4 linked regions of the Notamacropus eugenii genome follow. The protein of the gene in region 2 interacts with the protein of the main gene of each other region in a pairwise test. Links are inferred from orthologs where the notes say so. Each region holds a gene or a part of one and is shown on either strand. Other genes may lie near its edges.

What was found.
Region 1: the proteins of ITSN2 (region 2) and LARP6 interact in a two-hybrid assay, tested with the Homo sapiens proteins (2 studies listed by BioGRID, with this or other methods). The link is inferred for Notamacropus eugenii from reciprocal best matches to the Homo sapiens genes ITSN2 and LARP6.
Region 3: the proteins of ITSN2 (region 2) and SOS1 interact in a two-hybrid assay, tested with the Homo sapiens proteins (2 studies listed by BioGRID and IntAct). The link is inferred for Notamacropus eugenii from reciprocal best matches to the Homo sapiens genes ITSN2 and SOS1.
Region 4: the proteins of ITSN2 (region 2) and SYNJ2 interact in a two-hybrid assay, tested with the Homo sapiens proteins (2 studies listed by BioGRID and IntAct). The link is inferred for Notamacropus eugenii from reciprocal best matches to the Homo sapiens genes ITSN2 and SYNJ2.

Annotation. Positions count from the first base shown.
Region 1 is NC_092872.1:134,940,552-134,947,464, forward strand, and holds the start of LARP6 (la-related protein 6), read right to left. Parts: upstream 3,001-6,913; 5' UTR 2,726-3,000; coding exon 2,457-2,725; intron 1-2,456. UniProt on the Homo sapiens protein: Regulates the coordinated translation of type I collagen alpha-1 and alpha-2 mRNAs, CO1A1 and CO1A2. Stabilizes mRNAs through high-affinity binding of a stem-loop structure in their 5' UTR.
Region 2 is NC_092872.1:761,640,434-761,648,186, reverse strand, and holds the start of ITSN2 (intersectin-2), read left to right. Parts: upstream 1-4,736; 5' UTR 4,737-4,867; intron 4,868-7,753. Other genes in the region: intron Large complex component GCFC2, read right to left, coding at 452-568, 837-902, 1,301-1,484.
Region 3 is NC_092872.1:672,340,737-672,348,047, reverse strand, and holds the start of SOS1 (son of sevenless homolog 1), read right to left. Parts: upstream 3,007-7,311; 5' UTR 2,868-3,006; coding exon 2,781-2,867; intron 1-2,780.
Region 4 is NC_092873.1:251,614,077-251,621,480, reverse strand, and holds the start of SYNJ2 (synaptojanin-2), read right to left. Parts: upstream 3,003-7,404; 5' UTR 2,737-3,002; coding exon 2,610-2,736; intron 1-2,609. UniProt on the Homo sapiens protein: Inositol 5-phosphatase which may be involved in distinct membrane trafficking and signal transduction pathways. May mediate the inhibitory effect of Rac1 on endocytosis.

The sequences.
Region 1 (6,913 bases), about 630 Mb from region 2:
AATGCAGAACTAAGAGTAATGGATGGATGTTTCAAAGAGGAAAATTTATGCTTGATATAAGCAAAATCTTCTTAAGCTTTCTAAAATGGAAGGGCTGTCCAGAGAGTAATGGGTAATCTCATTAAGATCATAGATTTTGATCTGGAAGGAACCTCTGAGGTCATTCAAGTCAACCCCCTCATTTTACAGACATGGAAAATGAGTCCAGAGTGGTTAAGTGATTTATCCAGGTTCATACTGGCAATATGTAGCAACATAGGGATATGAACTTGGCTCCTCTGTTTACAAATTCTTCACTCTTCCTACTGTGACATTCAGTGGTTTTCAAGCAAAATTTGTATGATTCCATGTCATGAATGTTGTAGAGAGGATTCCTTTTCAGGTCTGAGCTGAACTGGGTGGCCACTAAGGTGGGTCACTCAATTCTGAAATTCTGTGATTTTGTGAATACTGTGACATGGCAGCCAAACAAGCTAAAGTCATTCCAGACAACACTGAGGGGCATAATGTCTGTGGCTAGGAAGATGACAGTCCCACTGTACCCTGTCCTGATTAGACATCCTGGTTACACTCTGGGCGCCATGTTTTAGGAAGAGGCGGAGAGCACCCAGAGGACACTAAATGGTTATCTGCCTCATGTTCACCTTATGAGGACCAGTTAAAAGAACCAGAGTATTTAGCCTGTATAAGAAAAGACTTAGGGACAATATGATAGCTCTCATGCAGAAAAAGAATAATTACATTCATTTTCCTGGGACCCAGAGAGTAGAACTGGGAGCAACAGTGGGAACTTGGAAAGAGGCCAGTTTGGGCTTGATAATAGGAGAAAAGACATCACGATCTGAGTTACCCCAAAGTCGAATGGACTGTCTTAGAAGCAGTGGGAAGTGTTCAAGCAAAATGCTGAAGATCACTTGGTGTCTATGGTATACAGGGGATTATTCTTCCCTTTGGGGCTGGACTTGATGGCCTGTGGGGTCCTTGAAGTCATGACCCCTGAATAATGATTAAGGCTCAGGAACTGAAACACAGAAGCCTCCTAGAGCAAACACAGGAAAGTCAGTGTCTTGATACCATGAGTCCCACCCTTTGAATACTAAACCAGTCTAACAGTATTATGAAACACAGAACTCAGATGGCTAGGACACCAATGGCAGGCACTAGATGGGTATGAACTGATGGGACAGGGCAGGTTTATGCAAAAAACAAAAAAGACTTCTTGAGTTTTATGCTATCTCTACAACTAGAATTAAGATACTTGTCAGCAGGTTTGAGAAAAAAATCAAAGCTGAAAGACACCCTAGACATCATCGAGCCTTCAGTTCCTTCACTTTATGAATGAGGAAACTGAAGCCTTGAGAAAGGAAGTCATTTGGCCAAGATATTACAGCTAATCAGTGGCCAAACTGGTACTAGAACCCCATCCAATGTTCCTCTAGGGGCAGAATGAGTAAAACCAATTCAATTTATATCATAAGGGATAATGTGCTGAACTGATCGCTTGACTTGTATAGGTTGTTAAGGCAGTTGAACACTACAGCTTGGAGGATCCTAGAAGTGACAGAACTTTGCCAATAGAGAGCTGAGGCCATGAAATAATCTTTCGGTGAGTCTACCTTTATGCCACTTGCAAATGTACAAATCTCTCATTATTCACTCTGGGGTGGGGGGAAGAGAGACAGAGACAAAGGGGGGAGAAAGAGAGAGAGAGACAGACAGAGACAGAGAGAAAGAGGGGGCAGAGAGAGACAGAGACAGACAGACAGAGACAGTGAAAGACAGAAACACTCCCCGCAAGGAGGCAGTTTGGATTACATAGACCATAATGGGGGGAGGAGGGTGGGTAGCTATATTCTTTTACCACGTTATCTGCACTGGGGGGCTTAGCTCTTATCCCCCCTCCCCAAAAGCGGATTTGGGTGTAGACGGCTAGACAGTGAGTAACCGCTGAGACTAGTACATCAGTGTCCTTTTCCATGGGCATGACTGACCCAGCCCAAATGATTGATTCGGAGTTTTGGGCAGCCCTGGCTTACAGGACATCAACAGCTCCCTAAGCTCTCCACCTCCGGTGGCGAGCCTGGGGGAGGCAGGGATGCAGAAGTCCTGACTGCACTCTCTGGAAGAGAAACCCCAAAGACTAGGAGATCAGGATGGTGTAGATCGAGGATGAGGCCCTCCGGACTTCTACGGGCCCCTCCTGCCGTGCTGCGGGGAAGGGGCCGGGATGTGGTGGGTGCTGGCTGCGTGTGTGCCGCCCAGCAAGCGCGGATCTGGGTGCCCCCCCGCCCCGGGGAAGCTGGCGAGCCGAGAGTCTGAGCCCTCGTGCAGAACAGCCGGGCTGCCTGTCCGGTCCTGCGCTGTCCCCCATGCACTCCTCCAGCCCGCCCGCGCCCTTCACCTCCTCCATCCCAAAGCACCCCGTTCCCCTGTCCAGGCCTTTCCTACGCTCGTACCTGTGACCGCGGCTAGGCTCATCCTCGCTGGCACTGCCCCACCCCGGGCTGAGATAGCGAGCCGCGTCCCCGTCGTCTTCCCCTTCCCCGCTGCCCCCCATCGCGGCCCCAGCCTCTTCCTCCCCCTCCTCTTCTGCCGCCTGGATGGCTACGCGGATCCGCACCGGATTCCTAGTCCCGGACCAAGCCTCGTATTGCTCCTCCTCTCCCAACGCATCCTCTCGTGGCCCTGCGCCGTCCCTGCCGCCCACCTCAATCGGCCGGGCCATGGCGGAGCCGGAGAGCAGGCGGAGCCGAGGGGCTGCGGCTGGGAGCGTGGCGGCCTCCCCTGCCGGCCCTGGGACTGCCTGCCCGATCGGGGGCGGCGGCAGCTGGAGACTGGCTGGGGCTCGCGGAGGGAGGGACCGGAGGGGTCGGTGCTGCCCCTCTGCAGGCGGGCCGGCCTCCCTACCCGCGGATCGGTCTCGCTCAGTACTGGGCTGAGCCCTTCCTTTTGGGGAAAGGGGGTGGGGGAGGCTGGAGGGGGAGTCGACTTCATTTGTGCTTTTTGCGTCGCGATCGGGGGTCAGCTGATGCCTGTCCGGGAATTAACCCCCCAATTCCCGATACTCCACCTTCCCTCCACCCCTATCCATCTCATGTTGCACGGAAGGAAGGGGCCCTAGGCTGGAGAGAAGGTAGCACTTAGGATTATAGGAACCAGAGTGAGAGATCAGGAACTTTGGAGGTCATGTAGGACTGGGACCACTTCACACTTCACAGATAGAGAAACCGGGGCTCCGAGTAAATGACCTATCGCACAGGTAGCAAGGGACGGTGCTAGTATTTGAATCTCGGCCAAATCGAGGTCATCATCATCCCCTAGGCTTCCCCTTTTCTTCATCTTGATAATGATACAGAAGAAGGTTATCCTCCTGGATGGTTAGTTGACCCTGGGAATGACAGAAATTGCCTAAGGGAGTCAAATCCACTGGCGTGCCAAAATCTAGGGCATTCCCATCAATGGTCCTGTGGATTAAGGCGTGAAGCACTCAGTTCAAATGCAAGTACGTTACAGTAGGAATACAAGTAACATACTTAAGATGTATGTGAGTCGTGACATTTCATTTAACTCAAATTTCTTGGTTGTTAGCTAACCCGATCAGAATCCTAAAGAAACAGAAGTAGAGCAAAAACAAATTTCATCCACTTCACAATTTCAGTTTGGACTCATGTAGTCACCCTTTTCAAGGCCTAAGTTTTCTTTATTATTTTTAAAAATAATATTTTATTTTCCCCAATTACATGCAAAAATATTTTTTTTTACCATTTTCAAAATTTTGAGTTCCAAATTTTATCCTTCCCTCCCTCCTTTTCTCCTTTGGATAGACAATAAGCAATCTGATATAGGTTGTATACGTGCAGTCATGTAAAATACTCCCATATTAGTCATTTTGTGGAAGTAAACAAACAAAAAAATGAAAGAAGAGGAAAAAGTGAAATATAGTATGTTTCAATCCATATTGAGATCCCATAAGTTCTTTCTCTGGAGGTGGATAACATTTTTCATCATGAGTCCTTTGGGATTGCTTTGGATTGTTGTATTTCTGAGAATAGTAAGTTATTTATGAATGTTCATTGTACCATAGTGCTGTCACTGTTTACAGAGTTCTCTTGTTTCTGTGCCCTTCACTGCATCAATTCATGTAAGTCTTCTTAGCTTTTTCTGAAATCATCCTGCTTATTGTTCCTTACAGCACAATAATATTCCATTATAATCATATACTACAACTTGTTCAGCCATTTCCCTCTGGATGAGCATGTCCTCAATTTCCAATTCTTGGCCACCACAGAAAGAGCTGCTATAAATATTTTTGTACAAATAGGTCCTTCCCCCCCCCCCCTTTTTTTTTGGATGTCTTTGGGATATAGACCTACCAGGGGTATTACTAAATCAAAGGGTATGGACAGGTTTTATAGCCCTTTGGGCCTAACTCCAAATTGTTCTCCAGAAGGGTCAGATCAAGGGAGCTAGGCCGGCTGTGCAGTGAGTGGATAGAGCACCTGCCCTGGAGTCAGCAGGACCCGAGTTCAGATTTGGCCTTAGATACTTGACACTTCCTTAGTTGTGTAGCCCTGGGCATGTCACTTAACCATCATTGCCTCGCAAAAAAAAAAAAAAAAAAAAAAAAAGAATGGTTGGATCAGTTCTCAATTCTACCAAGAGTACATTAGTGTCCCAGTTTTCCCACATCCCCTTCAACATTTATCATTTTCCGTTTCTGTTGTATTAGCCAATCTGATAGGTGTGAGGTGCTACCTTAGAGTTGTTCCAATTTGCATTTCTCTAATCAATAGTGATTTACAACATTTTTCACATGACTATTGCTTTGATTACTTCATCTGAAAACTGCCCATTCATATCCTTTGATCATTTATCAATTGGGGAATAGCTTGTATTCTTATAAATTTGACTCTATTCTCTATATATTGGAGAAATTAGGCCTTTATTAGAGATGCTTTCTATAAAATTTTCTCATTTTCTGCTTTGCTTCTAATTTTGGTTGCATTGGTTTTATTTGTAAAATTTTTTAATATAATCAAAATTATCCATTTTACATCTAGTAATGTTCTTTATCTCTTGTTTGGTCATAAATTCTTCTCTTCTCCAAAGATCTGACAGATAAACTATTCCATGCTTCCCTAATTAGCTTATGATATCACCCTTTATGTTTAAATCATGTACCTATTTTGTCTATCTTGCCCTATAGGAAAGTAGGTGGAAAGGGGAAAAGAGGGGTGTGGGGGATTATTGAAGGGAGGGCAAATGGGAAGAAGGAGTAAATAGAAGTGAACAATTTTGAGGAGGGATAGGGTCAAAAAGAGAATAAAATAAATGGGGGCAGGATAGGATGGAGGGAAATATAATTAGTGTTTTGCAATATGACTGTTATGGAAGTGTTTTACATGTATAACCTATATTGAATTGCTTGCCTTCTCAGTGGGAATGCGTGGAGAGGGAGGGAGAGAAGTTAGAACTCAAAGTTTTAAAAACAAATGTTAAAAATTGTTTTTACATGCAACTGGGAAATAAGATATACAGGCAATGTAGTAGAGAAATCTGTATTGCCTTACAAGACAATAGAGGGGATGGGGATAAAAGAAGGGAGGGGTGTGATAGAAGGGAGGGCATATTGGGGGAAGGGGTAATCAAAATGCATATTGTCTTGGGGTGGGCAGAGGGAAGAGATGGGGAGAAAATTTGGAACTCAAAATCTTGTGGAAGTGTCTGTTGAAAACTAAAAATAAATATATGATAATAATAAAAAAATAAAATCATGTACCTATTTTGACCTTATCTTAGTATATGGTATGCAATTTTGGTCTATACCTAGCTTTTGTCATGCTATTTTCCAGTTTTCCCAGAAATTTTTGTCAAATAGTGAGCTCTTGTCTCAATAGTTTGGATCTTTGGGTGCACCAAACACTAAATTACTATGGTCATTTATTAGAGCACACTATGTACCAAATTAATTCCACTGATCTATCACTCATTTCCTAGTCAGTGCACAATTGTTATGATGACTACCACTTTATAATACAGTTTGAGATGTGGTATGATGAGGCCACCTTCCTTCATTTTTTTTTCCATTAATTCCCTTGATCTTCTTAAATTTTTGTTCTTTTATATGATTTTTGTTATTATTTTTTCTGGCTCTATAAAAATTTTTTAGTTGTTTTATTGTTATAGTACTGCCTAAGTAGATTAGTTTAGGTAGAATTGTCATTTTATTTTATTGGCTTGGTCTACCAGTAAGCAATTGCTTTTTTCCCATTGTTTAGATTTTACTTTATTTTTGTGAAGTGTTTTACAATTGTGTTCATATAGTTCCTGGGTTTGTCTTGGCAGGTAGACTCCCAAGTATTTTACATTGTTTATGATTATTTTATCTTGCAACTTTGCTAAATTGTTAATCATTTCAACTAGTTTTTTTTTAGCTGATTCTCTAGGATTCTCTAAGTATAACATTATGTTCAAAGTTAGAGTTTTGTTTTCTCAGTGCCTATTCTAATTCCTTCAATTTCTCTTAGTGTAATAATAAATGATTTTATATTCTATACTATATATAATATGTATAACACATATATAATGTATATAACATATATACTATATAATATAATTAATACTATATATAATAATATGATAAATACATAATTTAAAAATAAATATAATAAATGTTATATATAATATAAAATATATACTATATATAATATAATATTGCTTCATCGCTGACCTTATTGAGAAAGATTCTAGCTTATCTCAATTTTAGATAATGCTTGCTGATACAGATATTCCCTGTCATTTTAAAGAACATTCCATTTATTCCTACTCTCTCTAGGAATGAGTGTTGTATTTTGTCAAAGACTTTTTCTGCATCTATCAAGATAATCTTATGATTTCTGTTGGTTTTATTATT
Region 2 (7,753 bases):
CTCTCTGGCTCAGGCTCAGAACTGGCCACAGCACCATGGGTTCACCCAGGTGGACCAGAGCGGACTGCTCTGCTGCACCCTATGGGACCATCCCCGAGACCTGTGTCTGTCCTTAGAAAAAGTGCCCCTTTCCCACCTCCAGTCATGACTCTTCCCCAGGAGGCGGCACAGGATGCAGGACAGGAGGACCTTGTGGCCCTAGATCTATGGCCTGTACTCTGCATCTTCCCTAAAGGACCCACAGGAACTGAGTGAAAAGGGTCAGGGAGAGCCTCTGGGTCACCCCGCAGGGTTCAAGGAAAGGTTTTGGTTGAGCAAGGACTCCTCAGAGGATGCAGATCTGGCCATGGACATCGCTGGTCAGATCAGGAGGGTCTGGCATCAGACAGGGAGTGCCAGGTGACTGCTGATCGCCCAGCAGCCCCAGGACTGGCCCATGGGGGCCACGCACCTGGCCAGTCATCCTGCGCTCTTGGGGAACGAGCCTCCTCGCCAGATGAGCTTCCCGAGAAGTCTTGGGCTTCTGCCCCGGTGTCCTCATCCTCATGGCCAGGCGGCAGGGGGGACTCTGGGGGACAAGCAGTGGCAGCGATGCTAGTCAGCGCCAGGCAGCCAGTGGGGGGACCTGGACAGGGGGAGCTCCCTCAGAACCCCTCAGCGCCCTTCCTCAGGCCCAGTCCAGGCAGAACGCGGGCCCTCCACAACGGGGAGGATCCCTCCAACAAGGCTGATTGCAGCCCTTCCCTCCCCTGACCTTGAGCCCCAGGCTAACACTTCTTCCCTGGGGTGGGAGCTCCCCCCAAGACGCCAGCAGGGGTTCCAGCAGGGGCGCTCACCATTCCTTTCTGGAGAACTGGAGCACCCCTGCACACCTGGAGGGGCGGGTCCACACCGGGAGGTGCCTGGAGACAGAGTGGGAAACTGAGGCAGGGCAGCGAGGGTGGGGCCAGAGGCTGTGGCCTGAGAGTCTGGGGGCTGAGGGGCGGGGAGGGTCCATGGGGACAGGGGATCAGAATGAGGGGTGCCTGGGGTGTCTGCGTCATGACCCTAACTTGACAGGGGAGGAAATAGGAGGGGGTTGGAGTTAGCTCCTGCCCCTGCCCCGCCCGCACTGCCTCAGTTTCCTTCATCCCTGCACAACCCTCGAGGGGCCCCTCCCCATGGAATCGATGAGGTCATGCATCCGTGGAAGACGGGAGCTCTCGGACATCGATTGAGCTTCCCTGGAGCTCCGCGCATGCGCCAGGAGTCCGCGTGTGCGCACGCACCCTCCCCACCCCATGGCTGCCCTCGCACGGACCTGCGCGGCGCGAAGTCGCCCAAACGCGGGCGCGGCCGCGACTCCGCGGAGCCCCGAGTGTGCGCTCGGGAGCGCGGCCGCCGAGGCCCGAATCAGGTGTGGGCCCAGGGTCAGAGTCGGGGTCGGAGCTGGAGCCTGAGTCCGCCTGGCGCTGGCGGAAGTTCCGCGGAGGTCGCTGAGACATAGTCGACAGGTACTGCGCCGGCGCGAGGCCCCGCTGGTTCCGGCTCCCCGCAATCTGAATAAGACACTTTCGGACCGACGCGCCTGCGCAGTGGGCCCGCACGCCATTGGCTCGCGGTCCTTCCTGGCTCCGCCCCACCTGGCTCCGCCCCCCACCAGCTGTTCCAGAGCCCTCCCTGTCCCCGGAATTGAGAGGGAGGAAGGGAGAGAATTTGGAACTCTGTTTTAAAAACAAATGTTAAAAATTGTTTTAACATGTCACTGGGGAAAAATAGAATAATAAAAAGAAAGGTTTTGGTTGTGAGATCACCTCCGTCGCAGCAGCTCAGAAGCGCCCGAACTCCGAGGCAGCGTGCCCGTGCCCCTGCATTCGTGGGCACGGTGGCTCCTTGGGGAAGGCAGGAGGAGGAGGGATCCCTTCCCTTTCACGGAGTCTCTGTGCCATGTGGCAGCGGCGCCCTGACGCCTCCAGCAGGGTCTGCCAGCGCGGGGTCTGCCAGCGCGGGGTCTGCCACGCAGGCTTTTAGGTCTGCTTTTGTGAGAGGGTCTTCTGTGATCACGTACACCAGCGGAGAAATCAAGCAGTGCTCAGCAGACGGAGCCTGGAGAAGTCACAGACTCAGGCATCCTGGAAGTCACGATGGGAAAGAGTTCTTAGGGCACCTGCCTGCAACCTTGGAGGGGTACGGTCAAAGCTTGTGCAGGATATTTTATAGCAAACGTGCCAAATGTGCCAACTAGGTTATTCAGGGCAGGATTAAGCAGTGGTTAAGGAATAGTTAGTTCTTAAAGGAACATGCACTTTTAGGATATACTGTGCAGGCATGTTACCCAAGGGGCAGGCCTACATGGAGGTGTGCTTTTAGGCCTCAACCAGCAGTCAGGGCTGACTGAGAAATACCCGGGCTGCTCCCATCAAGCAAGACAAACATAAGGGAGTAAACACATGTCTGAGTCTAGGATACATGTGATTGATCTTTAGGACCCAGTACACAGCCAGTTCAACCAGTACATAGATGGTTCAAACTAATAAATTGTAGAGGTGCAGCTGGCTGTTGTAGCAGGCAGAGAGATAAGGGTTTGGCTAGGGCGGGCTGTCCTTGGGAGACGGTGTATTGAGGCTAGGGAGAAATGTGATGTTAGGGTTGGGCCGCCCATCGTGACCATTACATACACACATAGTTACCAGAGAGAGAACCATAGGCACCATGTGCTCATGGCCATGTGGCAGCCCCAGACGAGGCAGCCAAGTTATGCCTGCATCTGATGCTGATGGTACCTCTCTCTTGTCCTGCAGATCTATAGCATTTTTTCCTCATCATTCAAAAGCCGATCGGGAGACAGCATTTTTCCTTTTAGTCATGCATTTGATTTCCATGCTCAACAAGTAATTATGATACTTTTAATTAGCCTAAAATTAGTGGACAGGAAATAAAGATTACCACCTAAGTGGAAAGGTAACAGGCTACCCCATATCACACCCTTCTTGAAACATGCTTACCAAAGCTTTTGTGGGTTAGATCATAGGCACAGACTGCTGCCCAAGTTCCAAGAACTGTGCCCCCATGTCAGACATGGCTCTTGTAGGTGGGGGACAGGAGAGAGGAAAAAATAGATAATTCAATCAAGCTCTGACCTTGATTCAAATCTAAGCCCTATGGAGCACTCTCTGAAGGCTGGAGTGTTCCAGGAGGAACTTTTTGGTGGTGTGGAAGGAGGAAAAGACCTGCAGTGTTCACTGGTTGTGCTTCAGTTCAGCAGCAGTCAAGCACCAAGGCTGGGCTGAGGAAAGCCGGACCCTTCCCAGGAATGCTTGAGGGGTTTGCATTCATTGTTCTGGTGTCCAGGCAGAGCCCTGCAGGAGCAATGATGAAACGTGGAGAAGGTGGGCGGAGTGATAATGAACTGAAGAGAACTCTTTCTTATTGGTTTGGAAGGGGGCTGGACTGCCAGGACTCACCAAGGTCACATCAAAGAGCAAACTGAGGGAGGCCAGAGAAATGAACTGACTTGCCCAAGGTCTTTCCCTGCCCTGTGAGAGAGCACCCTTCCCCTTCAGCAGCTTATAGACCAGTACATGGAAGTTAGCAGGGTTGGTCAGGAATCATGAAGAAGGGACATGATCACGTTGCCCCCTCCTCCATGCCCATCACCTTGTGGACACATCAGGGGCTCTCTCACCCTTTGGCTTTGGATGCCCCATTTGGCGTTGGCATTGGATGAGCGGCGCAGGATGAGCCACTGACCCGCATCTACATCATTTTTCTTAGATGCCCTCAGACTCCTTCCTTAGTCTTCCCTCTCCCCCTCTAGTGTCTCCCCAAAGGGCAGCTTGGACCAGTCTTTCTCACTAGATTTCTGTGATTCACGAGATTCCTGCTACCACCACAGTATCAGGGCATCCTATTATGTCTTCTTAACAATGGATAATTATAATTTTTTAGTTTCACAAATAAGACACATTTCATTTATTTTCACTTTATGGTTAATTTTTTCTACAAACAATACAATTTTAAAAACCTATTTATTTTGATGGTTCTAACATTTGTGGAGCGCTATGCCATCCATGTTATCTATCGAGCATTATTAATTCTTAGCCCCAAGGGTCCACGAGGACTGGCTGGGATCTAGAATCTTTGGGATCCACAGGCCTCTAGGGCAAGGAGTCGTGGCTGTAGGACGCCGGGGCTGGCGGGTGGCATGACCTCCGCGTGGCCTCTGAGCTGGTGGACGAACTGCCCCCACTGGGAAGCCACCGACTCAGACTCAAAGGGAGGGCACGTGCAGGGACTTGTGCAGGGAGCAAGTCCGCACCCCTCTCGGCCAGGCCCCGCCCCTATGGCCCCGCCCCCCTCGCTCTCCCAGTCTCCTTGGAAGGTCTCCTTCCTAGACCACGTCCCTCTTCTCTTCAGGCCCCGCCCCTCCTGACCTCATCTTCCGCCTCCACATTCCCATTCCTGGCCCTCCTGCCCCGCCCCTCCGCCCTCCAGGCTCCGTCCTCATCATCCGGGCCCGCCCCCTCGCTCTCCCAGTCTCCTTGGAAGGTTTCATTCCTAGGCCCCGCCCCTCCTGGCCTCGTCTTCAGCCTCCACGGTCCCTTTCCCCCGTCCCCCTCCCCTGTCTCCAGGCTCCGCCCCCGACTTCCATCTGGAGGATCGTCACATGACGTACCGACGGGCGCGGTGACGTGAGATGACGACGCGATGACGTAGGGGCGGGGCCGGGCGGCGCTGACAGGCGGCTCTGACAGGAGCCGCAGCAGCTGCTTAGCTGTGGCTCGTGGCCCGTCAGCCCCTGAGCGCAGTCGGGGCCCCTGGCTCGGGTCCTCGCGGACGGCCGAGGGAGCCGCGGAGGCGGTGGCGGAGGCGGAGCAGGCGGCGGCAGGTGGGGGCGCGCGGGGGGCGCGGGGTGGGGGGGGTCACGCGGAAGCAGGAAGCAGGAAGGAGGCCCCGCTTCCGGTGGAGACTGCCCGGCTGCTACGGGGGCGGCGGCGGGGATCGGGGAGGGGGGCGGCCCGCGCGTGTGGGGGGGGCCCTGCGAAGGGGGGCCGGGGGGGGGGGGGGTCACTCGTCCAGGAATGGTCTGAGGGCGGATTCGAACTCGGGTCCTACTGACTCGGGCTGTGCGCAGGACGCGGGCCCGGCTGACGGCAGCGATCAGGGGTGGGAGGTAGGGGCTCCTGGGATGGGGGGGCGCCGCCCCTCTCCCCCAGTGACCTGGCTGTGATGACCCTCCCCAGACCCCGCCCGCCCTCCCCCAGGCTTTGTGCTGATTGCCGCACTGCGGTCCTCCTGGTCCCCCTGTCAGACCCTCCTCCCCTCCCCCCGTCAGACCCTCCTCCCCTCCCCCAGTCAGACCCTCCTCCCCTCCCCCAGTCAGACCCTCCTCCCCTCCCCCAGTCAGACCCTCCTCCCCTCCCCCCAGTCAGACCCTCCTCCCCTCCCCCCAGTCAGACCCTCCTCCCCTCCCCCCAGTCAGACCCTCCTCCCCTCCCCCCAGTCAGACCCTCCTCCCCTCCCCCCAGTCAGACCCTCCTCCCCTCCCCCCAGTCAGACCCTCCTCCCCTCCCCCAGTCAGACCCTCCTCCCCTCCCCCAGTCAGACCCTCCTCCCCTCCCCCCAGTCAGACCCTCCTCCCCTCCCCCCAGTCAGACCCTCCTCCCCTCCCCCCAGTCAGACCCTCCTCCCCTCCCCCCAGTCAGACCCTCCTCCCCTCCCCCAGTCAGACCCTCCTCCCCTCCCCCCAGTCAGACCCTCCTCCCCTCCCCCCAGTCAGACCCTCCTCCCCTCCCCCCAGTCAGACCCTCCTCCCCTCCCCCCAGTCAGACCCTCCTCCCCTCCCCCCAGTCAGACCCTCCTCCCCTCCCCCCAGTCAGACCCTCCTCCCCTCCCCCCAGTCAGACCCTCCTCCCCTCCCCCCAGTCAGACCCTCCTCCCCTCCCCCCAGTCAGACCCTCCTCCCCTCCCTCCAGTCAGACCCTCCTCCCCTCCCCCAGTCAGACCCTCTTCCCCTCCCCCCTGTCAGACTCATCCCCTCCCCCATCAGACCCTCATCCTCTTCCCTCCCTTTCCTCATCAGACCCTCATTCCCTCCCTTGCACCATTTGGGGAGATGCTCAGGGTCTGCCTGCGAAAACTCTGCCCCGCCCCACTCCAGTCCATTCCCTGCACTCACCCAAGTGATCATCCTTAAGCCTAGGTCGGACCATGGGTCACCCCCCCCAAATTTCAGGGGCTCTTAGTTTTCTTCAATTTCCTATCCAAGATCCTCTCTTCGGCATTAAAAACTCATCCTCCCCTCCCACCACACTGATCCTGAGATCCAGCCCCCTGGCTGTCCCAGGACAAGAGCCTCCATCTCTGGGCTCTGGGCATCCTGTCTGTCTGTCCTTCCCTCCTGCTCCTCCACCTTCCCCAGGAAGCCTCCTCAGCTTTGTCGCCTCTTCCACTAGATTGTGTTCTCTTTGAGCCCACGGACCACGTTGTAGTTACTTAATAAAAATCAATTGGTTGTTCGTTAGTCTTTAATAAAGATTTGGGATTAATTTAAGACATAGTCATGAGTTAACAGTGACCCCTGAATTCTACTTTTCCATTTCCACACCTGCTGTGGTCCTTTGCCTGGGACAGAGTCTGAAAATGTGAATCTCAGAGGTCATAGAAACCTTGGTCACGGTAAAGATAAAGAATGTGGAAATCCAGAATTCTGAAGTTGCCAGCAGGCTTTGGTCATAACATATTCCTGTAAAGGAAATCAACCTCAAATAACAGTCATACCAGAAAGAAGAACTGTGGTTGTAACTTTAATGCCTTTCCCGACAGTCAGCCAAGATTTATGAAAGGCCTGCTGTGGACTGGACAGGGGTTACAGCCCCTTTCCCTCAAAGACCCTTCCCTCCAGTAGCTTACCTTCTTCTAACCCACATAAGCATCTACAACATAAGTCCATGGCTATTTTTTGAGGAGAGAGGTCCAAGCACCTGAGGGGACCAGGGGCAGGCCTTTCATGAGCTGAGACTTAGTGCTTGAACTTGTTTCTGAAGGAAGCTGGGGATTTGGAGAAGGGCCCAGATGAACAGTGAGGGCAGATTGACTGTGAAGGGGAAGGACATAAATCTGTGTGAGCTGTTGGGATACTGGAATTTAGGTAGGAGTCTAGTACAAGTTATTATGTTAAGAAATTGAAATAAACCCCTGTGCTTTTGTGACAAATGAGTGTTAGGGACAAGACGGGGTAGAAGTCACCCTGTTTACCCTGGAAGTTCTAAAGAAAATTTATCCTCTAAGTCAGGGGAGGAGCCTGTGCAGTGCAGTCAGTCACTTGACCCAGAGAAATGTGGTCAGAAATGAGCTTTGAAATGCTTGTGGCCTACAAGTGAGTAGACCCAGCTCAGCAGAGCTTCGTCCAGAACCCTGTTCTTGGTGCTGGCTAGACAGAGTGGGGGCGGGGGCGTGGCCTGGAGGTGACGGGTGAAGGTTCGAGCAGTCTTCCAACAACTACCCTCCAAAAGACATCGTTCCCATTTTATAGGTGAGGACACTGAACCTTGCTCTCAGCCCAGACCCAGCCCCCTCTCCACTACAGTCCATGTTGGTCTCTCTCTGCCTCCCCTCAGCCCTTAGCAGCCCCCAGCGTGGCTGCCACCAGCTTCACTCAGACCTTCCAGTAGCTGCTTCTCAAAATACAGGCAGGCCATTCAAGGATATCAGAGGAGTTGGGGCCACGGGCTCCTCCTCTCTTTGTGTGACAGATACAGGGTGGGTTGACTTG
Region 3 (7,311 bases), about 89 Mb from region 2:
ACTCTGCTGTAAGAAATGTATGTGATGAATAGAGAAAAACAGGCAAAGATCTTCATGAACTGACCCAGAAGTAAGCAGAACCAAGAAAACAATATACACAGTAACTATAACAATGTAAATAGAAAGAACTACACACCAATATGTGTGTATACATACATACATATATATACACATATATGAAGTGAATGTAACAAAATCAAAGATCAAGAAGGACTGGAAAGAAGAGATATGAGGGGACATCCCCAGCCCATCCCTTCAGGGAGGTAGGAATTATAAAAGTGTTATATATTGTATATGTTTTTGGACTTTTATCAGTTGTACTGATTCTTGTCTTCCCTTCCCCCCCTCCCCCAATGCTGTTTGTCATATGAGATGGCTCTCTGAGAGGAACAGCAAGAGAGATACTTGGGATAAGGATAATGATGTAAGAAACAGAAGACATCAACTTTATTTTTTTAAATGTGTAGTTAGGTAGACTATTTCCTAATAAACTAAAGATTTGTGTTAGATGGTGGATTTTTAAAATTAACAACAAGGAATCTGAGTTACAAAAGAAACACAAAAGCAACATTCAAAAGACATTCTCTAAATTCTCCTCCCTTGAGGTAGTATCAATTTCAAGATAATAGTTTGTTTTTTAAATAACATCTGAGCTAGTCAGGGCAATAGGTCACAAATTGTGACCTACTTGATCTCTTCTCTCACATACAAGTATAGTATAGTAACACCTCATCTATCCAGCATCAGGAAATGAACTGTTCCACACATGTTAATTTTCCAGATAAATGAAACTTACCCCATTTGAGGGCCAAATCTTTCTCAAAGTTATAACGTACTTCCTTGCCTCCTTAAAATGAGTCTATTGAAGAATGTTTTTAGTTAATGGGGACATTAAAAGAGACTATCCCCCACCAAGCTGCTTGATAGTAAGACCTAAAGTATAGAAGCAGGAGAGGGGAGGAGGACCCTTATCCCTGCTCTGGCACTACAGTCACGGGGATGCACTCTACTCTCCCCAAGGTAAGATACTAAACATAATTGAACCTTTTCTTAGTGACTCAGTATCATCATTACTTTAATGATGGGTCATGTGGTAATACAGTAATGCCCCTGGGGGTTGTTGAGGTGTGTAAGGCTATTTGCTCCTAATGGCTCCAGACAGCTAAGCTTGAGTTTTGTTTACTTTTTACAGTTTTTCTCCCTTCTTTCTCACTATGAAGCTATCAGTGCCTGCTTGGATGCCTTAGTGACACAAGTTCCTTCCACACTTAAATGCAGAATCATGCATGAAATAAGAGTAAAGGGAGAACTAAGTGAGGATCTAATGCATTATCTTGAGTGAAATTTACCAGCTTTGTAACATCTTTTTAGCGACTCAGAAAATTTTTCTTGCTTCCTGGGTTCTATGTACTTTAAGTTGCAAGAATACTGATTTGCACATAATGAAGGTACTTCTGCAATTTGATTTTCCATTTGCTTCTAAAACTTAGATTTTTTTAGAAAAAACAGTTCACTGAAGTCTGAACTTAATAACATTGTAAGAAAAAAGTAAGTGAAAAGTTATACAAAAATACAAGGAAATACAAGGAAAAAGGGAGTGAGAATGAAAACCTTTCTATACCTTTCAAGACATATTAAGAAGATATAATAATCTAGTAATAAGCATACAAAGAGTAACTGTTCTCTAAATTCAATTCTCTAGACTAGAGTAACAAAAAGTAAAATGTATCTTAAGAACAAATCACTAAACACAGAGTTACTTTGTTAAGCTTCAGTGTTGAACAATATGGTAACAGGGATTTTAAAACATGTTTTAAAAAAGTTAACAAAAAATAGGAAAAGACAAAGTAACTTCTAAATGCAGCACAACAGAAATGACGACTAGAAAAGAAACAACAAATTATTACTTCAGAAGTCACACAAGTACACATTCTTTAAAGGATTCCAATTTCAGATGTCTTAATGTCCTTTTGGTACACAATGTTGTTTTTAAAAGTTTGCAGCTACAGATTGCAAAGAGATGATAATTCTGAAAATTCTGATTATCAAGCCAAAATTCGAATAGCAAAAACCTTAGCCTTCCAATGTAATAACTGATAAATCAAATAGTACTATTTTCGCATAGCCTTACTAAATGGAGCATGGGGGGGTGGGGCAATTCTGGATGGTGGCAAGCGATTACTAAAAACAAAGCCAAAAAGATCTAATCCCGTAGCTAACCGAAGGCAAGCAGCGTAATTACTTAGGGCAAACAAGATGGTCAAAAGTCAAATCAACAACATTTCTTAAGCGACTCCTTGGTGCCACACTCCGCTGGGCACGGGGGATACACACAAAGGCAAAGTCAGTCCCTTCCCTCAGGGAGCCTGCAGATGAATGTGGGCAGTTTTCCACAGTGCTCACGCAGGGGCCCTGGGCACCTAGGGCAAGAAGCTGACCTTAGTTCCTAATATACAAAGGAGAGGAAAAGCTCCTTGAGGACAGGGCTGCCTTTCACTTGCCTCTTCACGGCTTACTGAATGGAGGGATGGAGAGAATGAAAAGGCAGCAGGGGATCATTTTTAGACACTCTTCTGCATACCTCGACATACTCAGAAGAAAAGGGGAGGAGGATAGGGGGCTAGGCACTAAGCTTTTCGGTGGGTGGCCGCTACAAACAGCCTCCCGCAGTCGCCGTGCGAGCAGTGCCCGCACCGACACCGCCCCGAGAAACCGGGCAAGCCGTCCGCGGGATGCCGGAGCCCAGCCCGCCCCTCCCCCGGCCCGCGCCCCCACCTCACCTTTTTCAGGGCCGTCACCAGCAGCCCCCTCCACTTGGGCGCGTTCTCCTCGCTGAAGAACTCGTACTGCAGCTGCAGCGCCTGCATGGTGCCCCGGGGGCTCCTCCGGGGGGCGGCGGCGGCCGAGCGGGGCGCCAGGGGGCGGGGAGGACGAGGACAAGGAGGAGGAGGAGGAGGCCGAGCTCTCACACCCGGCCCCTGCGGAGGGCAAGGCGAGCGGGGGCCCGGCGCGGCCACTTACACAGGACCAGGGACCAAGCCGAGCCCGGGCCAGGAGGCGGCGGCGGCGGCATCCCGCACCGCCTCCCCCGGGCCGGGGCCGGGGCCGGAGCCGGCGCTCTCCCCCCCACCCCCGCCGCCGCTGCCGCTGCCGCCGCTGGCCCTGTCTCAGCGCGGAGCCGCCCCCAGGGTCCCCTTGGGCGCCTACCCCGGGCCTGGCCCGCCCGGCCCGGCCTGGCCCTGCAGCGGAGCCCCGAGGAGGGGGGGCGTGCAGTGAGACGTCTCCGGCGCCCCTTCCCTCCGCTACGGCGGCTAGGCTGCCCGGGGGGTCCCAGGAGACGGGGAGGACAGAGCAGGAGAGGAGGACGGGAACAGCCCGATTTTGTGGTTCTAAAGGAACCCGGCCGCCCCGAGGTGCTACCGCCGCCGCCACCACCGCCGCCGGTGTAAAGCTCAAGCTTCCTACTTCAGTGGAACCTGCCTCGCTACTGAGCATGCTCAGCAGCGGGGACAGCGGCTCGCAGTCTCTAGCGGCTGCCACCTCCCCCTCCCCCGCCCCCAACCTCCTCCGGCTCCAGGTTTTCCCTTCAACCGCGAAGGGCCTGGAGGGATGGGGGGGGGGGAGGGATTCAAGAAGTAGGGAGATTGGCCGCGCTCGGAGTTCAGCCCTGGCACTGGAGAGGAGGGGAAGGAGCGAGGGTAGTAGTGTCACACTGCGAGGAGGGGTGGCTGAGGGACACCAGCTGAGCCAGGGGAAAGCACTCTCAGAGTTGTGAGATGGGGTCACATGAAAGAACGTGCTTCACCTTTCGAGGTCTGGGGTTCTTTTCGTATCAGAAGCACCGCGGGGGGGTGAGGCGCAGACTTAGTTACCCAGAGAGGTGTCGGGTGAATGCCTAAAATAGAATAGGCACTGTACAGCCAACCTCCAAAGGAGACAGGTCCCTAAGCTCTCCCGGGAGGGATAGGGCAGGTATGCGTGTTGCACTCGCCCTTTCCTTCCCTTTGAGGATGCCAACTTGTGCAGTTTAATTGGTCATTCTTGGACACAAGGGCACATCGGAGGAGTCAGAAGGGACCTTAGAGGTCATCTATTCTAACGTGAACGGCATTTGCTCGTTCATTCCGAGATTACCTTCTATTTACACTGTGTGCATCTTGCGAGTACATAGTAATTTGCATCATCTCCCCCATTAAGAGAGACAACTCCTTGAGAGCAGAACAGGCACGGCGTTGACTCTTTGTATTCCCCAGCTCTTAGCACAGTGATGGCACATTGTAGGAGCTTCATAAATGACTGGATTGACAACCCAGAGACCCAGAAAAGGTTCATATCTTTTTAATGGTTACACACTTCATCCTAGGAAGAACACGGAGACCCAAAATAACAACAAAGCAAAAAACTAGAGTAAAGGTGGATCGAGCTTCTTAACTGGTGAATGTGCTCCAGCAGGTGATACTTAGAGCAATGTAGTTCCTTGGTTTCAGAAACAAAAGTAGTGGAAGCTGGAAAGAAATGACACCCCTCAAATAAAGGAGCAAGGGGAGCGTGAAAATGTTAGTAAGCCGTCCATTGTTGTCCTCTTAATTGCATAGTCAAAAAATATCAGCAACCGCTGAAAGAAAATTCTGGGATGTGAGTACTAAGTAAAATGGTATGGTCAAAATCTATGGTATAGATATTTAGCTCTTACAAAGTACTTTTAAAATATCTCATTTGATCCTCACAACAATCTGGGGATGTAGGTTCTATTATTATCCCCAGTTTACAGATGAAGAATCTGAAGTTAAGTGCTTTGCCCAGGGTCACACCACTTGTGTCTAAGGTTGCACTGGAACTCAGGTCTTCTTAAATCTAGAACCAGTGCTCTATCCATGACACCAGAGTAATAGCACGTATGCATATACACACATACATACACGCATTTTAAGGTTTGCAAAGCGCTGAACGTGTCCACACAACAATCCTGGAAGGTTTATCGCCATTTTACAGATGAGGAAACTAAGGCATGGAGGTTACTTGCCCCAAGTCACACAGCTAGTACGCGAGATCTAGCGATGCAGTTAGCAATCAAAATTTGTCAACAAACCTCTGCGATCTCTGTCGGGTTCCTTCCAACAGGGCACCCCTATCAGTCTAATGCCGTTCTCCACCACCACCAACCACCACCCTGCATCCTCTCAGGTTCTGCCTGCAGTGCCAGGGATGAACCTTGCCTGATAGGGCTTAGGGAGCAAATAAAGAGCCTGACCCTGAAAACTCTTGGACTGTGGGTACAAAGGAGGAGTCCCTACCAAGGTGAGGGAAACTTGACACCCCCACAACACAGACACACACAGACACACACAGACACACACAGACACACACAGACACACCCCTCCCTCCCCCTTTCTTCTCCACCCCCACCACACACACACACACACACACACACACACACACACACACACACACACACACACACACACACACACACACACACACACACACACACACACACACACACACACACACACACACACACACACACACACACACACACACACACACACACACACACACACCCCTCCCTCCCCCTTTCTTCTCCCAGGCTAGAAGTACAGGTACTGCTCCGCTCCCCGGCCGTGGAGTAAAACCCGGATAACTGGATTTCAGATCGGACTGGGCATGCTCAGCCACCCAATGCGGGGGGGGGGGGGGGGGGGGGATGGAGGAGGGGTTCACGAGTAAGAATAAGTTAAATTCACGGGGCCAGCATCGCGGCCTGAGGATTGGGACGGGCAAAGGGCCAGGTCTGCTGATCAGACAAGGGTGGACAAATGGGGAAGGGGCTGCGGCTGGGGACGTAGCCCGTCCATTCTGTGGGAGACAAAAGAATATACATCCTCGTGAAAGAAGAAAGGGAAACGGCTCAGGAGTCCCCGGTGTGAGGCGGGGACCCGGGGCAGTGACTGGCAGCCCCAGGACCCCCGCGACCCCAACCCAGACAGTTAGAATCGGGCGGCGCCTGCGCGGCTGCCTCCCCGGGCGCTTCTCTTTCCTTGACGAGACTCAGGGAGGCCCGCGTCAGGGCGGAAGTGATGCTCAGAGGAGGCGTCCAGACCAGGTAGCCGAGCTCCGAGCAGCTCGGCCGCGCTTCGGCGCTCCAGGGAGCGGAAGGAGGCTTCTTCAGTCTCCGCCCCGCTCAGCCCCCGCGACACGCCCCCTGCAGGCGGGAGGGCCGCGCGTGCGGGCGCAGCCCCAGCGGCCACGTCCCTGCGCTCCCCGCGAGCATCCTCCCGCCCCTGCTTCTTCAGCTCATCCCTAATAACGTGTCTGTCGAGACTCCCTGACGTAGAAGGGAATCCGCGGACCTAGCAGGAACTCTTACTCTGGGGAACGTGACGTCTTAAAAGATTTTTTACATGATTGCATTTCAGTAGAGTTGGCTTTTTGGTAATCCCACGTATTTTATTCATTTACCAATATTATTCTGAAATTCCCCCAGGGGTCCATGACACCAGGCAAGGGCAGACCGCCTCCTTCCCCGCCGAGATGAAGAATTCGTTCTAGTCCAACCGAGGAGGGAACGGTGGAGTGACAGATAAATGAAGTGACTTGGGTCACCAGTGGCATGGGCAGGATTCGAACTCGGTGCCTCTGACTCCAGGGCTGCGCACTTCCCACCATTTACAGTCTTGCAGCAGATTTTGGAGCCTGCTATCTGCCTGCTCTCCAGAATTAGGACCATGAACATAGCTGGAAAGGGTCTTTGAGATCTCTTGAACCAAACCTGCTCATTTTGTGGATAAGGAGGGGGGGACTTGCTCCATCACAGTTAGTGACAGGCACCATCTGACTCCCTATCCAGGGCTTCTAACTTTACAACGAGCGCCAAGACCAGGGGCCACCATTCCTATCTTCTTGCTAAGGGGGAGGGTCTGCCCAGAAATGGACCAGAAGCTGAGGAAAACTGAAGTAGGCTGGATATCTATTTCCAACAGTAACCAAAAAACAATACATCAGAGCTAGGAGGATGAGGGGCTTGAAATTTGGAAAGTGCATAAGAGGGCTACAAACATTTCCAGGAGAGTTCTGAGAAAACAAGGATCATGTTCTGTAGGTTCCTCATATGTTTCTTCCTATTATAAAATTCCTACTGCCATATGTTCCAAAATACATCCCTCACTAAAGCTCCTGCTTTTCACAAAATTAAGGAAAAAGGAAAAACAAAGTAGAAAGATGTCCTCTGGTTCACCAAATGAGGACATGTTCAAAGCAAGATATGCATGAACCTTGCCTGATGTTGCTTAGAGAGCAAATAAAGAGTCTGGC
Region 4 (7,404 bases), on a different chromosome or scaffold from region 2:
TTCTTCCAGAACAATCTTCTAACTCAATGCTGTTTTTTTAAATCAAAGAATTATATGGGACTTTGTTTTGCTTGAGTATGCCTATCATTACAAGGGTAATAACCCCAATGAGGAGGTGAGAGAGAAAAAAAGAGTTTTGTTTATATAAGAAAATTAAAAAATAAAAATGGAACCATTCTAGCTTTGCTGAGAGGAAAACTCAAAGAAAACTCAACCCATAAGCTGTATGAATGGACACTTTTAGTGGGAAGAAATCATTTTTTCAAACATTGTTGTGTCTAATCAACTTATACTTTATTGATTTTTCAAAGGATCATACAGACTACTTCTCTAGGAAAAGACTGCTCCTAGCTTTAGCAGAGAAGTATGAAGAAATGACTTTTTTGAAGCTAGTACTACCAATTAAATGCTACAGGTTAACTCAATTTCATTTAAGAAAAATAAAGATAACAGTGTACCATAAATACCAGCCTAAGAATTCCAGGGAAAAACAAAACCACACAATGCTAGGTTAAGCGACAAATTTGAAAGACTAAAAAAAAAAAATGACGTGGTTAGATTGATATGACAATTTCTTTATCATAAGAAATATTCTGGTATCTGGCTTACTGATATAAAAACACCTTGGGAAGGCATAATCGCAAAATTAATTTCATAATGAAAAATGTGCCTTCTGTTGCTTCAATTCATAACTGAGCTATTCACATTTGAAATAATGAAATCTTAAGTTGTTGATGTTTATCTGAATATTTTAACTGCTGTAAAACCACCTCCTCCCATTCTCTCAAAAGCATATCTTAACACTTTAAGTGGAAATACAAATTTGTATATGTTTTCAAAAGTCACTTTATGCAATCCTACTCTGGGTTTAGGTAAATGAGCAAAAAAACAAATAATCATCTAAAATGTTCATGGGAATCAAACTTGGAATGGAAATGTCTATCTCTTTTCTCTTTTGAGATACTACCAAATAGCTCAGTTTGGGCTTCCATAGAGGAACATGGAAGTTATCAGATTAGAACTGAGATAAGGAACTTTACATAAAGCTCTCAATTTAACAAAGATTTATTAAGTACCTATCATGTGAAAAGCACTGTCCTAGGTAACAGGAAGATTAAAAAAAAAAGCATAGAAAAAACAGCCCTTGCCCACAAGGAGCTTGCATTTCATAGAGGTGAACCAATTGAATATAAAAGAATAAAAGAAACAAAAACTTGTGCATACAAAAAAAAATCTCAGAAAAAAGGTACTGCATTTTTAATGACATTTTTGGGGAGGAAAAGATTAACTAAAGAAATGGTACCTTTAAAAAGTTTACAGTTTAGTTGGACAGATAGCTCATACACCTATCAAACTGTTTATATACTAAAAATGTTTACACAACCATCTACCAATGCATGCAATGAAATTAGCATGCCACACAAATTTCAAGAAAATATAGGAAACATGGCATTTTCTCTCCACTCATTGTTTAACCAATTATATATGCACAAGCTCACAAATTCAGCAAGCTTGTAAAGTGGAATCTCTGGCTTTATCTACACTTGGAAAAAAATTAGTTTTTAAAAAGTCCCACACTCCTGACTAATTTAGAACACTTAGAAGTACTTACTGCTTGAATCCTTCACACAGATGCTAGTGGCAAACTCAACCGGGGTGGTTTTACCTGAAAAAAATGTGTACTTATCACAGTATTTAGAGATCAAGGTCAAGTTCGATGCCACCAAGAACTCAGAAATGTACCCATTGTATTGGCAAGGATCTAGTGCTGGTCCTTACAGCCAGCCAAACTCTGTACTCGAGTGTGCTGAGTTTTCTTCACCATGTATTTTGTTGACCTGAAGCAGCAAGGCTTCCATAATGTACCTATTACCCATGTACCAATGTACCTATTACCCAAGCGGCTCACAATATTTCCTACTGTAATCATTTGTTCCAAAAACAGGTGTAGGGAGATACACACACACACACATACATGCATACATACAAACACACACGCGGAGTTGGCACAGCAGCCCAATCTTTATAGAGGCCAAATCTTTCAGATCATAGTTAGTATTTCCTGGTTTCCGGCACCAAAGTAAGACAAAAAAGGCTTGCGCTCGCCTTGCTGGGGCGTTGGTGATGCCCCCCACCGCCTCCTCCCGTAACCCACAGAGGATCCCTCCAGCCCAGCAGGCAAACCCAAACCCAGGCTGGGCAGAGGCAGCATGGGGAGAAGTCACTGTAGAGAAGGTCTGAGCCGAGGGGCTCTAAAGCTGACTTGGAAGGGCGCTGGAATCCACACTACAGCCCCAGCTCCCTCCCACTCATACACCGCAAGCTGCTCCAAGCCTCTTCATTCTTGGGTTTTTAAAGAGAAGTCCACTCCCGGAGTGTCCACCCGGCACGAGGCTAGGCTGCCCTGGGCACCACGCTGCCCCGTACCGCAGACCCTGGACAAGCAGCCCCAGGGCGAGCTTTCGGGCAGTGCCTCTGTTCCCCCATCCCGGGCAGCGATCTCCCTCCCCCAGGGGCGCTGCCCGTGCGCTGCCCGGCTCTCCAGGACGTGCCAGCCCGGCCCAGGAAGGTCCGCGCCCCGGATCGGGGGAAGGAAGGAGAGCACTTACTGAGCGTGGCCACCGTGCCGGCCTCGAAGAGCAGGCAGTCCGGGCGGCTGCGGGCCTCCAGCAGGGTGCTGCTCTCCCCGGAGACATCGAACCTCCGGAGCAGCCGCAGCCCTTTGCTCAGAGCCATGGGGAGCTGTCCTCATGGGCCGGGAGAGGGCCGCGAGGAGCGCCGCAGCCTCCCCGGGTGCTGCCAGCCACCCAGCCCGAGCGCCGGGATCGGAGCCCCCACGCTGTCCAGGCTCGGGATCTGCCCCCGCCCGCTCCCCTAGGAGGAAACCGCTGGCGGCCGCCCAGCTGGCCCGGCCTCAGGAGGCAGGGAGCGGTAGGGGAAACCGCCAAATGCCCCTCCCTGGGCCAGGCCTTCCACGCTTTGAGCTACTTTCAGGAGTTTCACTTTGTCTCCCTACCCCAGCCCGGCCCACTGCTGGCTCCTCCTCCTCCTTCCTCTCGCCGCCCTCTTGCCCCGGGGCAGGTGAGAGCAGTGGGCAGCTTCCCTAGCACTCTCTGGTCTTTCTTCCTTTTCTCGGGTTCAAAAGGCTTAGCGCTCCCCCAAGAGGTCTAGACAGCTGCGCTTTCCTCCCCAGTTAACCTGGGGGCTAGCGGGCTGTGGAGGCACTGGGAGAAAAGTCAAAACGAGTTTCTCCGAGCTGTTCCTAAAGCTCTCCTGCAACTCGGCCTTCCTCAGTAGGTCGTGGAATCTACTTTGGTCAAGGATCCTGCCAAGCCCTGGCAGTGGGGAGACTTCTCAGACCCTCCTGTGCAAGTGTCAGGGTCTTCTCCAGGTTGTAGCAGATAAGGAGGGACATTCCATACATTCCACAGAGCTCTGAGGAGATGAAATCCAGCAGTTCTACAATTACGGAGAGAGAGAGAGACAGAGAGAGAGAGACACCAAAGGAAAGAAAGTCCATACAAGGCAGTGGTTATTATAGTAAAAAGAACTAGGAATTACAAGTCAGGAGAACTTCCTTTGTCTCATCTCATTAAACTCTGATGAGCCTCAGTTTCCTCCTCTGTAAATAGGGGTAATAATCTCTGCCTTCTCTACCTCATGGGATTGTTAAGGATCAAGTCAGATAATAAACTTGAAAGCACACTGAAAGACACTCTACAATTGTTCAGTATTATTCATGTACTGAACGTGCTCTGGGCTCACTCTTGAAGACCAAGGTAGGCTCTAGGTTCTAGGTTCTAGGGGTACCCCTGAGGGACTGAAGGTGTCTTCTTTACTGCTAATAGTGTAAGTTGCCATTTTCAATGCGTTCCCCCCAGTTGGCCAATCAGCATCTTTATTAAATATTCTGTACCAGACACTGTAATAAGTGCCCCTTCTATTAGTCACCTCTAGTTCCACTTAACCAATTAATATCAATTAGCTTTTACAAAAGGATATTAACATAGAAGATGTAGCAAGAACAAACATACAAACATTTCCATCCAACACTGTGGAGGCACATCCTTCGGGATAATGTCTCAGTCTCTGGAGACAGTAGGCTTAAGTTTAATATGCGTTCTACGTAGTATTGGTCCCACCAAGTTCATGTGCAAATATGGCAGTGATTCTGGATGAGTTCCTCTCATCATCAGGTCATCAAAACCCTGCACTCCAGCAGTTCTCCTGACATTCTGGTATTGATAAGGTCACAGTCTCCAATTTCCTTCACCAAAACGAAAGAACAATGATGACAGCAAAGAACCCAACCCTGTTTTCACTTACTCCCAGACTCCTGTTTTGATTACTCCAAAACCTGGTTCTGGCTGTTAGTTAACAGGATTTTACTGAACCAGTCTCTAACCTGAGAATGAACAAACAGCAGACCACAAAGTGCCAGTAATCAAATGGCCATTAATTAGTTTCATTATGAGAAACAGATTTGAAAACTGGGAATTTTCCTGATCAGAATTCCACCTTGCTGAAGTGAAAACAGAGATTACATGCATAAATCACAAGTGGGAAAGGAGGGAAAGAAGGCAGATTACAATGTTTTCCTAGACTTGAGCAGTTTCCCACGACAAACCCAGAAATGGAAGACAATACAACAATTCTGGAGTCTTATGGGAGCAATACAGCTCAAGTCCTTGGGGGTCATTACTTGGTTCTATGATGGGCTTTGATTCGTTTCACTTCAGGAAAGCAGGCACAAAGATCCCAGTAATTGTGAGCCTTGCCGAAGTTGGACTCATCATTTTAAGCTGCATTGTGAGCTCTCTCACAAGAGAGGATATTCTTTAGAAAACTAATCTAGTAGTATTTTCCTTACAAATATTATGTTGATTATTATAAAAATCATAATTCCCTTCACAAAGCCATCACTCCCCGCACTGCCTCTGGACCTCTACTCTAGTGGCTGGCTTCATGCTAGTTTCTTCTCCCCGCTCAGCTCCCTTCCTCCCCTTCCTCCCACCCCTGTCCCTGTGATGACATCATTCCCAAACCTATATTTGAGAAGCACCTGCATCAGCTGCATTTACTCCAAACCTGGCTCAGCTCATGACTCTTTGGATGCCTTCTGGATCCTTTCCTCTCCTCCTCACTCCCTTTTGCAACTTCTTTTATGTGCTGTCTTCTCCCCTTGGGTTGTAAACTCCAGGAAGGCAGGGATTCTCTTATTTTTATTACGATTTGCTTGTATTGCTTATTCCCTGTGCTTAGCACAGTGTCTGGCATACAGTAAGCACTTAATAAATGCCTTATCTATCTTCTATGGAGCCACATGTTGGCTTGAGACAAGAAGGTGGCCTGAAGCCTCTGTCCTCTAGGCATTGTCTCTTACCAGACGTCCTCCAGCCAGGAGAGAAAGAGAGCCCTTTTGAATGCCTTCCCCTTCAATCTAGCTTGAAGGGAATCAAGGTATGTGTTTAGTTTATTATTCAAGTATATTATAGATGATTCTATTTATTTTTCATTATTGTCACTCTCTCATTTTGATCATGGATTTGAATGCAAGCAATCAACCTATACTCATACTGAAATATTTTGAGTTTTTTCTTCAGTGAGCTCTCAAAATATTGCAAAATAGTAAATGCAAGCTCAACCCTTCATCCAGTTTTTATATAATACATATTTGTTAAGTATGTTACCTCAATCATTTTTCCAAATATTCCTAAATTAAGTTAAATGTGAAAAAAACTTAGATGTAAAATACTCATGACAATGAAATTCATCATTTCTGCTGCTTTTCTGTTTTATTGTCAAAAGCCATAATAACGAAATGTCCATGATTTTATTAGGATATTTTCTGAGGACTTCCACACAAAAACAAATTCCACTTTGACTCAATCCTCCAGGCAACCCTCTAGGACTATAAATTGCAGATAATGTGCCAACCCACATAGATAGAGGGAGTTTCATTTAGTGAGAATTGGTGAAGGAAGTTAGGTACAGCTACCAAATGATTAGGAATTGCAAAAGAGAGTGTAAAGGAGGTATTCATTAGGTTCTAACCACGTTAGTTGAAATCACAAGGAATTGGAAAGCTGACTGCTGAAGATCTCATAAGCCTAGATTCTTTCTTTAGATCCCTAGATTCCTCCTTCATAAAAATGATTAAAAGGGGAAAATAGAAGACATCTTATTATATTTTGGAACTTTTTGGTAGGTCTTAGACAGCCAAAAATCTTCTGAAGGCTCTGGGTCCAGAAAAGATTCCTCTTCAGAAGTATCTATTGATGTTGCCAAGGAAGGATGGCTCCATTTCCAACTACTTGTCACTGATCAGGGGAACACATTCAGTTTTAAAGCTATTCATAAATGTCCAAAGTAGTTAAACACATGGCAAAATAACCTTTAAGTAAAATCTGTAGCTACCCAGGGCAAAAACATCTCCAAGAATTCAATCATTCATTTGCCTACTTTTTTCCAGATTCAGACATTTGACCATTTTGAAACTTTCTGACTGGTTTTGAATTTCGCACTTTTGCCCAAATACTAAAACAACATAGATGCAAAGTTCCTGCGAAGAAAGGAACGTTCTCTGATCTGATTAGTATAGGGTGGTGCAGTGGACAGAGCACCAGTGCAGGAGTCAGGAGGACCTGAATTCAAATCTTACCTCAGACACTTGACACTCACTAACTGTGAGTGGGCAAGACACAACCCCAATTGCCTCCTCCTGGGTCATCTCCTGTCATCCTGATGAATATTTGGTCACTGGATTCAGATGGCTCTGAAGGAGAAGTGAGGCTGGTGACGTGCACAGACCTCCCTCACTCAAAACAAAGTCAAGTGCAAATCATGTCATTATTTTTCTGATGGCATGGTCTTCTTCAGCAATGAAGGACAAACACACACACACACACATTCACACAAGGACGAACACACACACAGACACACACATACCCCTCTGCAGCTGAAGCCAACACACACACACACACACACACACACACACACACACACACACACACACACACACACACACACACACACCCCTCTGCAGCTGAAGCCAATCAGAGAGGCTGCTGATCAATAACACATGGTAAGTAGACCAGACCCAGTTATAGAATGTCTATGAAGGTTCCAGAGTTTCTCTATTACCATCATCACGATTCTCTCAGAAGCAGGCTCCTAAATCTCTTTCATTTGGGTATTTGCATCAACAGCACTGTGCACATGCGTGTAGGGATTAGGCTCATTGGCCAGACCCTTGTTACATTAATAATAATAATAATAATTATAAAGAAATGTCAATTCTGTTCCTTACCAAGTACATGGTTGATGTGTCAATCTCCCCTACAAAATATATTCAATTAGAGTAGAAAAAAAAATAATTGTCCCTGCCCACAGTGAACTTACATT